Macaca fascicularis: one gene and its partner. The protein of the gene in region 1 interacts with the protein of each later gene in a biochemical or structural test. Links are inferred from orthologs where the notes say so. Each region holds a gene or a part of one and is shown on either strand. Other genes may lie near its edges.

Region 1 (5,190 bases):
ATTTGGGGCTAGGCAATGACACCAAATTTGCATGTGATAGAAGAGAAGATTGATCAAAATTGAACTTAATCAAAATGAAAACTTTTGTGCTCCAAAGAAAACCATGAAGAAAGTAAAAAGACAATCCACAAACTTGGAGAAAATAGTTACAAATCTTATACCTCATAAGGAGCTTGTATCCAAAATATATAAAGAATGCTTATAACAGAATAATGAAAAGACAAATAACCCAATTTTTATATGGACTATTTCCATAGACATTTTCCCCCAAAAAACATATAAATGGCCAAAAAGCACATGCAAAAGATGCTCAACATCATTTGTCACTAGGGAAATGCAAATCCAAACCACAGTGAGATACCACCTCACACCCCCTGGGATGGCTAGAATGAGAAAGACGGTCAATGACAAGCGTCAGTGAAGACGTGGAGAAATCAGAACCTTCGTGCCTGAAGTGAATTATAAAATAGTGCAGCCACTTTGGAAAGCATTTGGCAGTTCCTTTAAATGTTAAACATAGAATGTATCATATGACCCAGCAATTCCACTTGTAGGTATCCGTCTAAGAGAAAAGAAGACATGTTCACTTAAAACTTAAACCCAAAAGTTCATAGAAGCATTGTTAATAATCACAGTGACAAAAAGTAGAAACATCCCAAATGTCCATCCACCGATGACTGGATAAGCCACATGATATATCCATAAAATGGAATGTGATTTAGCCACAAAACTGAAGGAAGTACTGATACCTGCTACAACTTGGACGGCCCTTGAAAACATTATGCCAAGTGGAAACAGCTAGTCACAATACACCACATATGATTCCATTTATGGAAAATGTCCAAAATAGGCAAATCTATAGAGACAGAGAGTAGATTAGCCTGGGGCTAGGGAGGAATGAAGACTGACAAAGTTTCTTTTTGGGGTCATCGAAATGTTCTAAAATTAGCTTACGGGGATGGTTGCACAACTCTGTAAATATACCAAAAACACAGACTTGTACACTTTACACAGGTGAATTTCACGGCATGTAAGTTATATGTAAATAAAGCTACTTATTCTAGGGGAGGTGGGAACTTGGCAGATGGAGGACAAGGAGAAAAAAAGACTTTCTATTATATATCTTTCAATACTTTCTGGGTTTCAAACCATCTGACTATACTATCTATTCAAAAGCAAATCTAAAATCAAAAGATCAAACAAAATTAAAGACAGACCCCTGATTCTCCCCATATTTGGGTGGAAGAGCAAAGAGGGAGAAAGCCGCCACCCACCGCATATCACCGTGAAGGGTTGGTTGAGTGGAAGGTGGGCAGGAGGTTCTATGTGACAAGGGCAGCTTTGGAGAGGTTCCAAGACCCATTCATTGCCTGGAAGCCACCAAAGCCACTGGACCTGAAGGAGAGATGGAGCCTGACTGACCAGATGGCAGATGCCAAGCTGACCAGTGGGCCTGTCCCTGCCCCCTCCTCTACCACCATATGGACCTACATAAAATCCCAGAACCATCATCAAGTGCCAAAGGAGGGTGGGAAAACCCCATGACTGACACCAGCCAGGCAGAATAGAAGCTTGAGAGAGAAGCTCCATTGACGGAAAGGGAAGAAAGGGAACTCCTATCTGACACTAGCTCTGTGGGCTGGGCTCACACTCTGGGCCGCCACAAATTTGGATGCAAGATGGAAACTCTCTCCTGCATCCCGAGACCAGACAGCAGCCAAGGAGGGTGATTATCAGAGCCCTCTGCTTGTCCCTCCTCACGTGCTTGGCTGGTTAACAGGTGCTATACCAAGAAAGATCTCTGTGATCAAATTAGTTTGAAAAACACTGGGTTAAAGAAAGTCAAGGCATTTCTTTTAACTGCAGGTCTTCTCAGAGCCTTTCCTTGTGACTCCCCAAGAGGGGGTCTGGTAGTTTCATCAAAGCACTGTTGTGTTTTTGAGGGATGTCTGGTAGGAAAGACAGTCTACTTCATTTTACACTGAGGGGAAGCGGCTCAGCCAAGGTCCCAGAGTGGCTCAGGGCTGATTCGGCAGCACCAGACAGCTGCTGCCACTGCCAGGTCACAGTTCTAGCTGCGTCCTGACTCGTGGTGCCAGAGGCCTGGGCAATTTCATCCTGTGTCAAGGCAGCCTCTGGTCACTGCCTTGTCCAAGTCTCTCAGAAACTTTATGTATTTGAGCCCCTGACTTGGTAGATTCTGGGGACATGGTGGCTGGACACAAAAGAGGATGGGAGAACAGATTTGCTCCCTGCCTGGGGTGTAGGACAGAGCAGCAGGGAGAGGCTGTGAATCTAGGCTGTGCCCCGGTCCATCTGGCCATGGGTTCTGTCTGCACAGTGACGGACCTGGGGCCCTTTCATAAAACCTTAGAAACTCACTCTGATAAAAATGCTATAAGGGCCGGGCACCGTGGCTCACGCCTGTAATCCCAGCACTTTGGGAGGCTGAGGCAGGTAGATTACCTGAGGTCAGGAGTTTGAGACCAGACTGGCCAACATGGCGAAAGCCTATCTCTACTAAAAATACAAAAAATTAACCGGGCGTGGTGGTGAGCACCTATAATCTCAGTCACTTGGGAGGCTGAGGCAGGAGAATAGCTTGAACCCTGGAGGCGGAGGTTGTAGCAAGCCAAGATCAGGCCATTGACTCCAGCCTGGGTGACAGAGCAAGACTCTGTCTCAAAAAAAACAAAAAAAAAACTATAGGATAAATAGTCCAATTTTGTCAACAAATAAATAACCGAGGAAAAAATGGGCGGAAACTGTTATAGATTAAAACATAGCCAAAAGTCTAATGTGGGCCAGGCTGATTTGAACAAATCAACTGAGAAAGACATAGATGAGATAGTCGGGGCAGTTTGAACCCTGGCGGGCTATGTGATGATGTTCAGGAATTGTTGTTTCAGCAGGGGTGATGGTATGATGCTTCGTTTTTTGTTTTGGTTTTAGAGTTTGTGTTCTTAAGGAATAGATCCTGTGGTCTCTACAAATCAAACAATCTGGTGTTTGAGATTAGCATTAAAATGGTCCAGCGGGCATGTAAGGGGGAAAATAGGGGGTGTCCAGAGGGCCGTGGTGACAAAGGGAATTCCTGCTGGTGTGGCCAACCCTGCAGCCTCGATGGCTTCTCTCCCGGAAGGCAAGCCCCACACCCCAGAGGCATCCAGATCCAGGGCTCTCCATGTGCCGGGGCTTGGGAGGCTGGGACTGCCCCAGTGTGTGGATCTGCTGTGGGCCTTGCACCCACCAGACACTGCCAACCCCCACAGCACTGAGGCCCAACCCTCCTCACACCTCACACCTGCCCTCCTGCCCTCCTGCCCTCCTGCCCTCCTGCCCGGCTACTCACACCGCTCCTCCTGGTCCACACGGCTCCGGCCACCTCGCCTGCTCCGGCCCAGGCCACTCATTACTCAGGATGCTTATTATTAGTCTTAGATTTGATTAGTGCCTGGGCTGCACTTCCTGGGTTTTCCCCTCAACCTGTTGGATGTAAATCAGCCACACCCACTCCCGCCCCCATGCCTGTGCACTGGGTCTAAGGAGCCCAGGTGGGTGGCTGCAGCCCAGGCTCCTGGCGTCCCATGGGGTACACACAGAGCAGTGGAAGGCCTGCCGGGCCTTGCGATGAGGTATTGACTATGGGATGGCCCAGGCTTTTCTAGATCTGGCCCTGGCCATCCCTTGGTCCTGCCCCCCTGGCACACACCCCAAGCCAGGCCAGCTCTCCAGCCTCCCAGCAACACTCAGGCTTTTCCCTCTTCCTGGTTATACTTATTCTATTCATTGCCTGGTCAGCCCCTCCTGCTCTTCCCTCAAGGCTCCATTGAGGTGTCACCTCCTCCAGGAAGCCGTCCCTGACTGTCCCAGTCTGTCAGGTGGTGCTCATTCTCTGTGTCTCGTTGACCCTGTCCAGCACCTAGCAGAGCACTGGAGAGGCTGGACCCCAGGGCCAGACAGCCTGGGTTTGAATCTTGACTCTGCTGCACACCAGTGGAAGGCCTTGGTGGCAATTTATGGAACTCCTCTGTGCCTCCATGTTCTCTGTGTAAAACAAGGATGAGGTCGGGCCTGATGGCTCACGCCTGTAATCCTAGCACTTTGGGAGGCCAAGGTGAGTGGATTGTCTGAGTTCAGGAATTCGAGACCACCCTGGGCAACATGATGAAATTCCATCTCTACTAAAAAACAAAAAACAAAAAACAAAAAAATTAGCCAGGTGTGGTGGCCTGTAGTCCCAGTCTGTGCCTGTAGTCCCAGCTATTTGGGAGGCTGAGGCAGGAGAATGGCTTGAACCTGCAAGGCGGAGGTTGCAATGAGCCGAGATCATGCCATTGCACTCCAGCCTGGGCAACAGAGACTCCATCTCCAAAAAAAAAAAAAAAAAAAAAAAAAAGGATGAGAACATTGCCCGTCTCACAAGTGGTTATGAGCATGAAGTGAGGGAGCACAGTTACGTTCTTAGAGCAGGTTCTTGGCACACAGTAAGTCCTCAATAAAGGCCATGGAGGATGAACACTACAGCCCATATTGCACTGCATGGCGACTACACTCCTGTGTCTTCCCCATCCTCTGAAACCTCCCAGGAGATGGGAGGCCCAGAAACAGCCAAAGGCAGAGTGAGAGGAACGTAAAAACCAAAGAAAGCCCATGGGCCCTTAGGAAGAAACTGAAAGACGAGGAGGACGCGGGCAGGTGGAGAGTAAAGAAGGAGGCTCCGGGAAGCAGCTGGAGCAGGGTGATGGAGCACAGAGCAGGAGAGGAGATGCAAACGGTCAGCAAACACGGAAAATGTCCAGTCTCCCAAAAATCAGAAAAACACAACTGAACAATGAAAAACTAACTTTCACCTACTAGGTTGCGAAGTTTTAATGTTTGATAACATCAAGAGCAGGGGGTGATCTACAGAACATAACCTCACGTCCCGCTGGAGGGAGGGAGCTGGCAGCAGCGTTCTGGAGGGCAACTGGCCAGGGTCAGTTAAATGCAGAACACAGACCTTACCCACTCCCCAGAAATTCTCCTCCTCAGTGAGCCTCCTAACGACAGTGAGACACTGGAAACCATGTAAATGTCCACACAGCAGAGGATGCCTGAATAAGCAGGGTGCACAGGGCAGAGCCAGGAGTCAATGCCACAGTTAAAAGAATGAGACATCTCAAAGCTGTCGGGACAGACGCTGAGTAA
Region 2 (5,172 bases), about 9.5 Mb from region 1:
GCGCCCAGTCCCGCCTACCCGAGGACGCCGGCGCCACGGGACCGGCCCGCCCACAGCGGTACACAGGACTGCGCCTGCGCACATCTGCCTCCCGGCCGCGCGTGGCGTCCCAGCCACTTTCCCTTTTGCGCCGCGCTCTGTCTTCTCCGCTCTCGCCGGCCTGACCCTAGCGGCGCCCCTAGTACCTTGGTCCGGCGCGGGGCGCGCCACAGGAGAGCCAGGAGGGCGGGAGATCCCCGTACGAGGACCGGGCTGAGGCGAGGCAGTGGGGGAAATGGAGCCGGGGTATCATTCATTCTCTTTTATTTAACTTTAAGCAGGGCTTGATCAGAAAGAAGAGCTCAGAGGAGTGAGGCAACACCAACACCAGGGCGTACGATACATCCGAGGCTCCCCCGACAGCAGTTCCAGCCCGGAAGGGCTTGGAATGGCCTGCCACGCCGGGGCAATGGAGCGCATGAAAGCCAAACCTTGGGACCCGAAGAGTAATTTGACTGCGAAGGCACCGTCCTCGTCGGGCACCCCCTGTAGACGGGCGCATAATAGATACATCTTTGGAGATAGTGATGGAAACTGGGGTCCGATATTTGGAGAGAATGGCGTAGGATAGGGCTTCTTGTGGGGGTGAAGAGGCAGAGGGCACCTGGAGAGAGGTGTGGCATGGAGAACCAGGGGTTTTCCCTAGCAGAGGGCGGCTTCGTGGACTTCGGCCAACCGGCAGGTGCTTCCCTCGAGCGGCCGCTAGATGGTGGTGCCGTTCCGGATGCTTCCAGTGGTCCCCGACCAGGTCTGGACAATGCCTGGCGCCCGTCCCCCGCCCCTCATCTACACACAGGCAAGAATTCGGAGCTCCATGGGGGACAGAAGCAAGATATCCGTAAAATCAAAGTCTAGGGGGTGGGAATGAAAAGGGAAAAGTGAGGAACCGGGAGCCAAACCCAGGAAGACGCGTCTGTTCCTGCACATTCCCTCTCCTTTATATACTCAGCTCTTGGCTGTCTCCAGTATGTACCCACCCTGGTCTTCCAAGCTGGGAGCCACTTTTTATAACACAATCACAGTTTCACAAACCCCAGGAAGGTTCCATGTGGAGAGAGGTTAAGTTTCGCCCTTGCCCGGGGAATTATGACACTTAGAATATCCCCTTGGTGTAAATGGAAGACACCTGAGAAAAGAGAGAAAGTAGATTCACAGTGAAGCACAGCCATCCAGATGCCCTGCTTCCCCCTGCCTTTCCAGCTCCACCGTTCCTCTACCTCCTGTAAGGACCCAGGCATTCTGCACTCACTTCACTCCTCAGAATGAAGAGGTCCGCCTCTGTTTAGGTTTCCAGCCTCCCTCCAATTGGTAGCTCCCTGCACTGCACCCCCTGTCAGAGATGTCCTGCTTTCGGCTGCCCACACGGCTCTCACCTGCGCTATAGCAGCTGTTGTAGGCCCGGTCCGGGTGGGAGGGCATACTTCTTATACATCGAAATAGAGTCTCTTGCTTTCCTTGGCCTTCTCGAGACACCACCTGACCCATGGTGAAAGTCACGTCTTGAAACAGGACCTGGCAGGAAAGGGAGATGTTGAAGAAAACAGGATGGCCTGGCTCAGTTCTGGGAGGCCTCAGGAGCGATAACGAGGGAAGAATGAAGGGTCTGCTAGGTTTGGTATGAATAGAGGGGTCAGGAACCCTCAGTATCGGGCCAAAGAGGCCCCTTGTGAAGCTCAGAGTGTGGCGGGGTTACCTGGCTATACAGCAGATAAACTCCAGCATCCCGGATTCGGACACCATATCCTTGGGCCTGTAGGCCTCTCCCACGCCTGAGAGCTGGTTGCCACATCACCTCGGTCACATCGGAGTCATCTGGAGGTGAGAAGTGTGTCGGTCAGGATTTCTTGGCACTCTCAGATCCTTTTTGGTTCTTCCCCTTTCACCTATAAGAACCCCTTGAGCCCAAGTGCCAGCCCGAGAGTTGCTGGTTATTGCCCCTCCCCAAAGCCATATTTAAAACAGTGCTAACCCTTGGAGGTGGCGTTAATGGGAACCAGGTGCAGGACGGAGTGCTGCTCTGAGGAGAGAAGGAGGGAATCTCAGCCGTGTCCACTTTTCCCCGTTGTGCTGTTGGCAGCCTCCACCCTCACCCTGACTCGGGCTTACAATCCCCATGCTGCTGCACACCTCCCACCCCTGCTGCACCCTGGAAGCCTCACTCTTCTGTTTTTGGGTGAGCACTGCTCTCCTTTTCCGGGATCTCTCCCCATTCTCCCAGGCTTCCGGGGCATCGGAGCTCTGCTCATGGAAAGAGGATCAGGGTTAGATTGAGATGCAAGAGTCCCAGCCAGCCTTCCTTCCCAGCCCTCCCCTGCCCCCGAAATGCCTCAAATCTCTCATGCACCTTTTCCCAGCAACCGGAGTGTTGGTGCTGGCTGCCCTCCAGGATTTGTTAGGTATGAGAAGCATTAACCTTTAACAGTTTCCTTTCCTGGAATGGCCGCGCCCCTGACTTCCAAACCGGAGACCCTCTCTTGCACCCCCTTGAAACTTTGCAGACCAGGAGGCCCAGAGACCCCCCCCCCATGCTAACCATCCTTCTCTCCCAGACACCCTCCTCCCCTCACTCACCTGCTCCGGGAGACTCTGCCAGGGATACCCTTCTGCCTTCTGGGAGGGCCCTCCTGTCCTCTGCAGCCGGCTCACCTCTCTCCTGAGGCTCTGCAGCTCTGTCTGTTGGGTCAGCAGAGCCATGGCACAAGCCACAGCCCCCAGAGCTGCACCCCAACTCAACCAGAGGGCAACTGAGAGTGCCGGCTCTCTGACCGGAACCCCCATGTTGCCTGGAGGCCCTTTGGGGGCTAGCGAGAAAAGAGATGAGGCTGGCATGAGCTGGGGACCCTGCCAACAGCTGTGGCTTCAAGAGTGGGGTAACAAGGAGGTGGCGGGGCGGGTAGGGGTACGGGCAGTGGTGCAGAAGGGAAGAAGGTTGTTACGCAAGGAGAAATAAAAAGGAACTTGAGAATAAAAAGGAGGGAGGAGGAAAGCAAGCTAAGGGTACTGTTAGTGCTCCTGGCACTCCGTCGTGGGGCCAGTGTTGCCTTGAGACCCTCCACCCTCCCTCAGCCTCAGGAGAATTAGGTTCCAGTCCCTCTAGGAAGGACGGGGCTGCCAGTGACACCCAGGAGGAACAGCCAGTGCGCAGGAACCCTAGGGCGGCCCCAGGGTTGGGGGAGGGAAGGTTGGCTGGCGAGAGGGCATGGTGCCAGGAGCAGGATGGGGGGCCAAGCTGGGCAGTGTCCAGGGTCAGGGCGAGGGTGAAAGACCCTCTGGCTCAGGCACAGCAGAGATCACTGGGGCAGTTTACTAGGGGTGACTGAAGGTGGGAAAGGAGGGGTGGGCTCGGTGGGGAGGAGAACCAGGGGCACGGAAGCAAGAAACTGGCTGAGTTCTGGGGTTAAGGCTGGGCCGGGTGTGTTGGAATAAGGCCTGCACTACTCCCTGTGCTGAACTTGGCAAGCAGGACTTCCTGTTTCCCGAGAAAAGCTCTTACATAAGGCTCTGGACGAAGAGACAAAGCAGCAGCCCCAAGCCCCCCGGCCACTGCAGGATTCCTCCCCGGCACACAGGGTTCCGGGTTCCCGTGTGCTTGCTGACTCTGAGCCCCTCCTCCAGGCTGGCTCCTGCCCACCCCACCTCCCAGCAAGGGCCTGTGCCAGCACCTGCTGAATGTCCCGAGGCCACCAAGAGGAAGGGCCCCTGCTCCTCCCAGCCAGGGAGGGATTCCCCCGGAGGAGGAAGTCCGCCTCCTTGGGAAAGGAGGCCGCTTCTGCTGTACCTTGGGCGGACCATTGATTTTTTCCTGGGCGGTGTGCCTTTCTAGCTCTGCTCCCACCTGGGGGTTGGAAGCATGGAGGTCCCCGCTCCCAAGCCTGAACATCATCCTGGAATTCCAGCTGTGCCGCTCTGTAACGCCCCCCTTCCCACGACCCCCATCTACCCTGGGAGTGTCCCCTGAGCCCCAATAAAGAGAGAGACTATGACTTATTCTATTTAATATCCATTTATCAACACTTTGTCACAATAATAATAAAAATAATATCTGTTTTAAAAATCCACAGGGAATTCTCAAGGGAGGAGCTTGTCTTGTTTCTCGCCCCTCACATTTGGGAACTCCTGGCCTAGGCCCAGTCTCTTTGGCTTCCTGCCGCCAGGTCCAGCCCCTCTTAGTGCCTGAAGTGGGGTCTTCTGGACCCATCCTTGCCCACAGAGTACAGTGAACACAATGCCCTGGGGGTCTGTGGCCAGGGGGAGTCGAGATCACTGGGGGCCTCAAAGGGTCAGGGATTGGGGAGCTAGTGAGGTGGAGAGTGGGCGGTGGGGGGCGTTGTAAGATAAGAGTGGGAATACTGTATTTATGTGGGATGGAAAACATGTGAACAGGCCCAGGCAGCCTCTAGAGGGAGGGGCAGGTCTGGAGCAAAGAGCAGCTGAGGGTGGGGCACAGGGGACTGGGGTGCCCAGATAGCTGCCAAGGGGAGCCGGCAGCCTGGGACGACTGTGGGGAGACCAGGGCCCCTCAGTGAACCTGGAAGAGTCCGAAGTAGGTGAGGAAGGGGGCAGCCTTGAGATGGGCCCAGGGGAGGGTGCGGATTCGCAGGGAGGACCCTGGCCGCAGAGCCAACAGCCCAGACACCTGGCAGAGGCGAAGCTGGGGCCCGAGGGAACTCGCTGCAGTGGCTGAGAATTCCTCCAGGCAGCGCAGGGCCAGCACGCCATCCACCAGCAAGTCCAGCTTCAGGTAGACAGCCTTCCCCTCGTCAAAGTGCACCTGGGGTGGGGACAATAGGCCAAGTCCAGGCCTCTGCCTGCCCTCGCCTCAATTTCCAATTTCCTCAGTGACGCAGGCATCCCATCCCACCCAAACCCCGACTCACCCTCCCAGCCTTGTAGCTGGTCCCCCACTCTCCTGGCAAACCCTTCGCCACTCCCTTACTGCGTTACCAATGCAGCCAGGTGGGGCTTACCTGACAGTACAGGTAGTAGAGCCCAGCCCGGGTGACTATGAACTCCCCGATCTGGCGGTTGTAGCGCAGAGGGCTGGAGCTGTTGATTCTGGCTTCCTCCCAGCCACTCACTGTCCCGTCCACACCTGAACACAGATGCTCAGAGATAAGGAAATGTCTCTCTACA

What was found.
Region 2: the proteins of TNFRSF13B (region 1) and TNFSF13 form a complex in vitro, tested with the Homo sapiens proteins (2 studies listed by BioGRID and IntAct). The link is inferred for Macaca fascicularis from reciprocal best matches to the Homo sapiens genes TNFRSF13B and TNFSF13.

What each region holds. Positions count from the first base shown.
Region 1 is NC_088390.1:17,064,369-17,069,558, forward strand, and holds the start of TNFRSF13B (tumor necrosis factor receptor superfamily member 13B), read right to left. Parts: upstream 3,419-5,190; 5' UTR 3,414-3,418; coding exon 3,353-3,413; intron 1-3,352. UniProt on the Homo sapiens protein: Receptor for TNFSF13/APRIL and TNFSF13B/TALL1/BAFF/BLYS that binds both ligands with similar high affinity. Mediates calcineurin-dependent activation of NF-AT, as well as activation of NF-kappa-B and AP-1.
Region 2 is NC_088390.1:7,605,567-7,610,738, reverse strand, and holds TNFSF13 (tumor necrosis factor ligand superfamily member 13), read right to left. Parts: upstream 3,159-5,172; 5' UTR 2,869-3,158; coding exon 2,611-2,868; intron 2,278-2,610; coding exon 2,199-2,277; exon of another isoform or gene 2,167-2,198; intron 2,057-2,166; coding exon 2,009-2,056; intron 1,852-2,008; coding exon 1,733-1,851; intron 1,552-1,732; coding exon 1,413-1,551; intron 1,166-1,412; coding exon 1,056-1,165; 3' UTR 891-1,055; coding exon of another isoform or gene 884-890; 3' UTR 809-883; downstream 1-808. Other genes in the region: TNFSF12 (tumor necrosis factor ligand superfamily member 12), read right to left, coding at 4,559-4,810, 5,007-5,131. UniProt on the Homo sapiens protein: Cytokine that binds to TNFRSF13B/TACI and to TNFRSF17/BCMA. Plays a role in the regulation of tumor cell growth. May be involved in monocyte/macrophage-mediated immunological processes.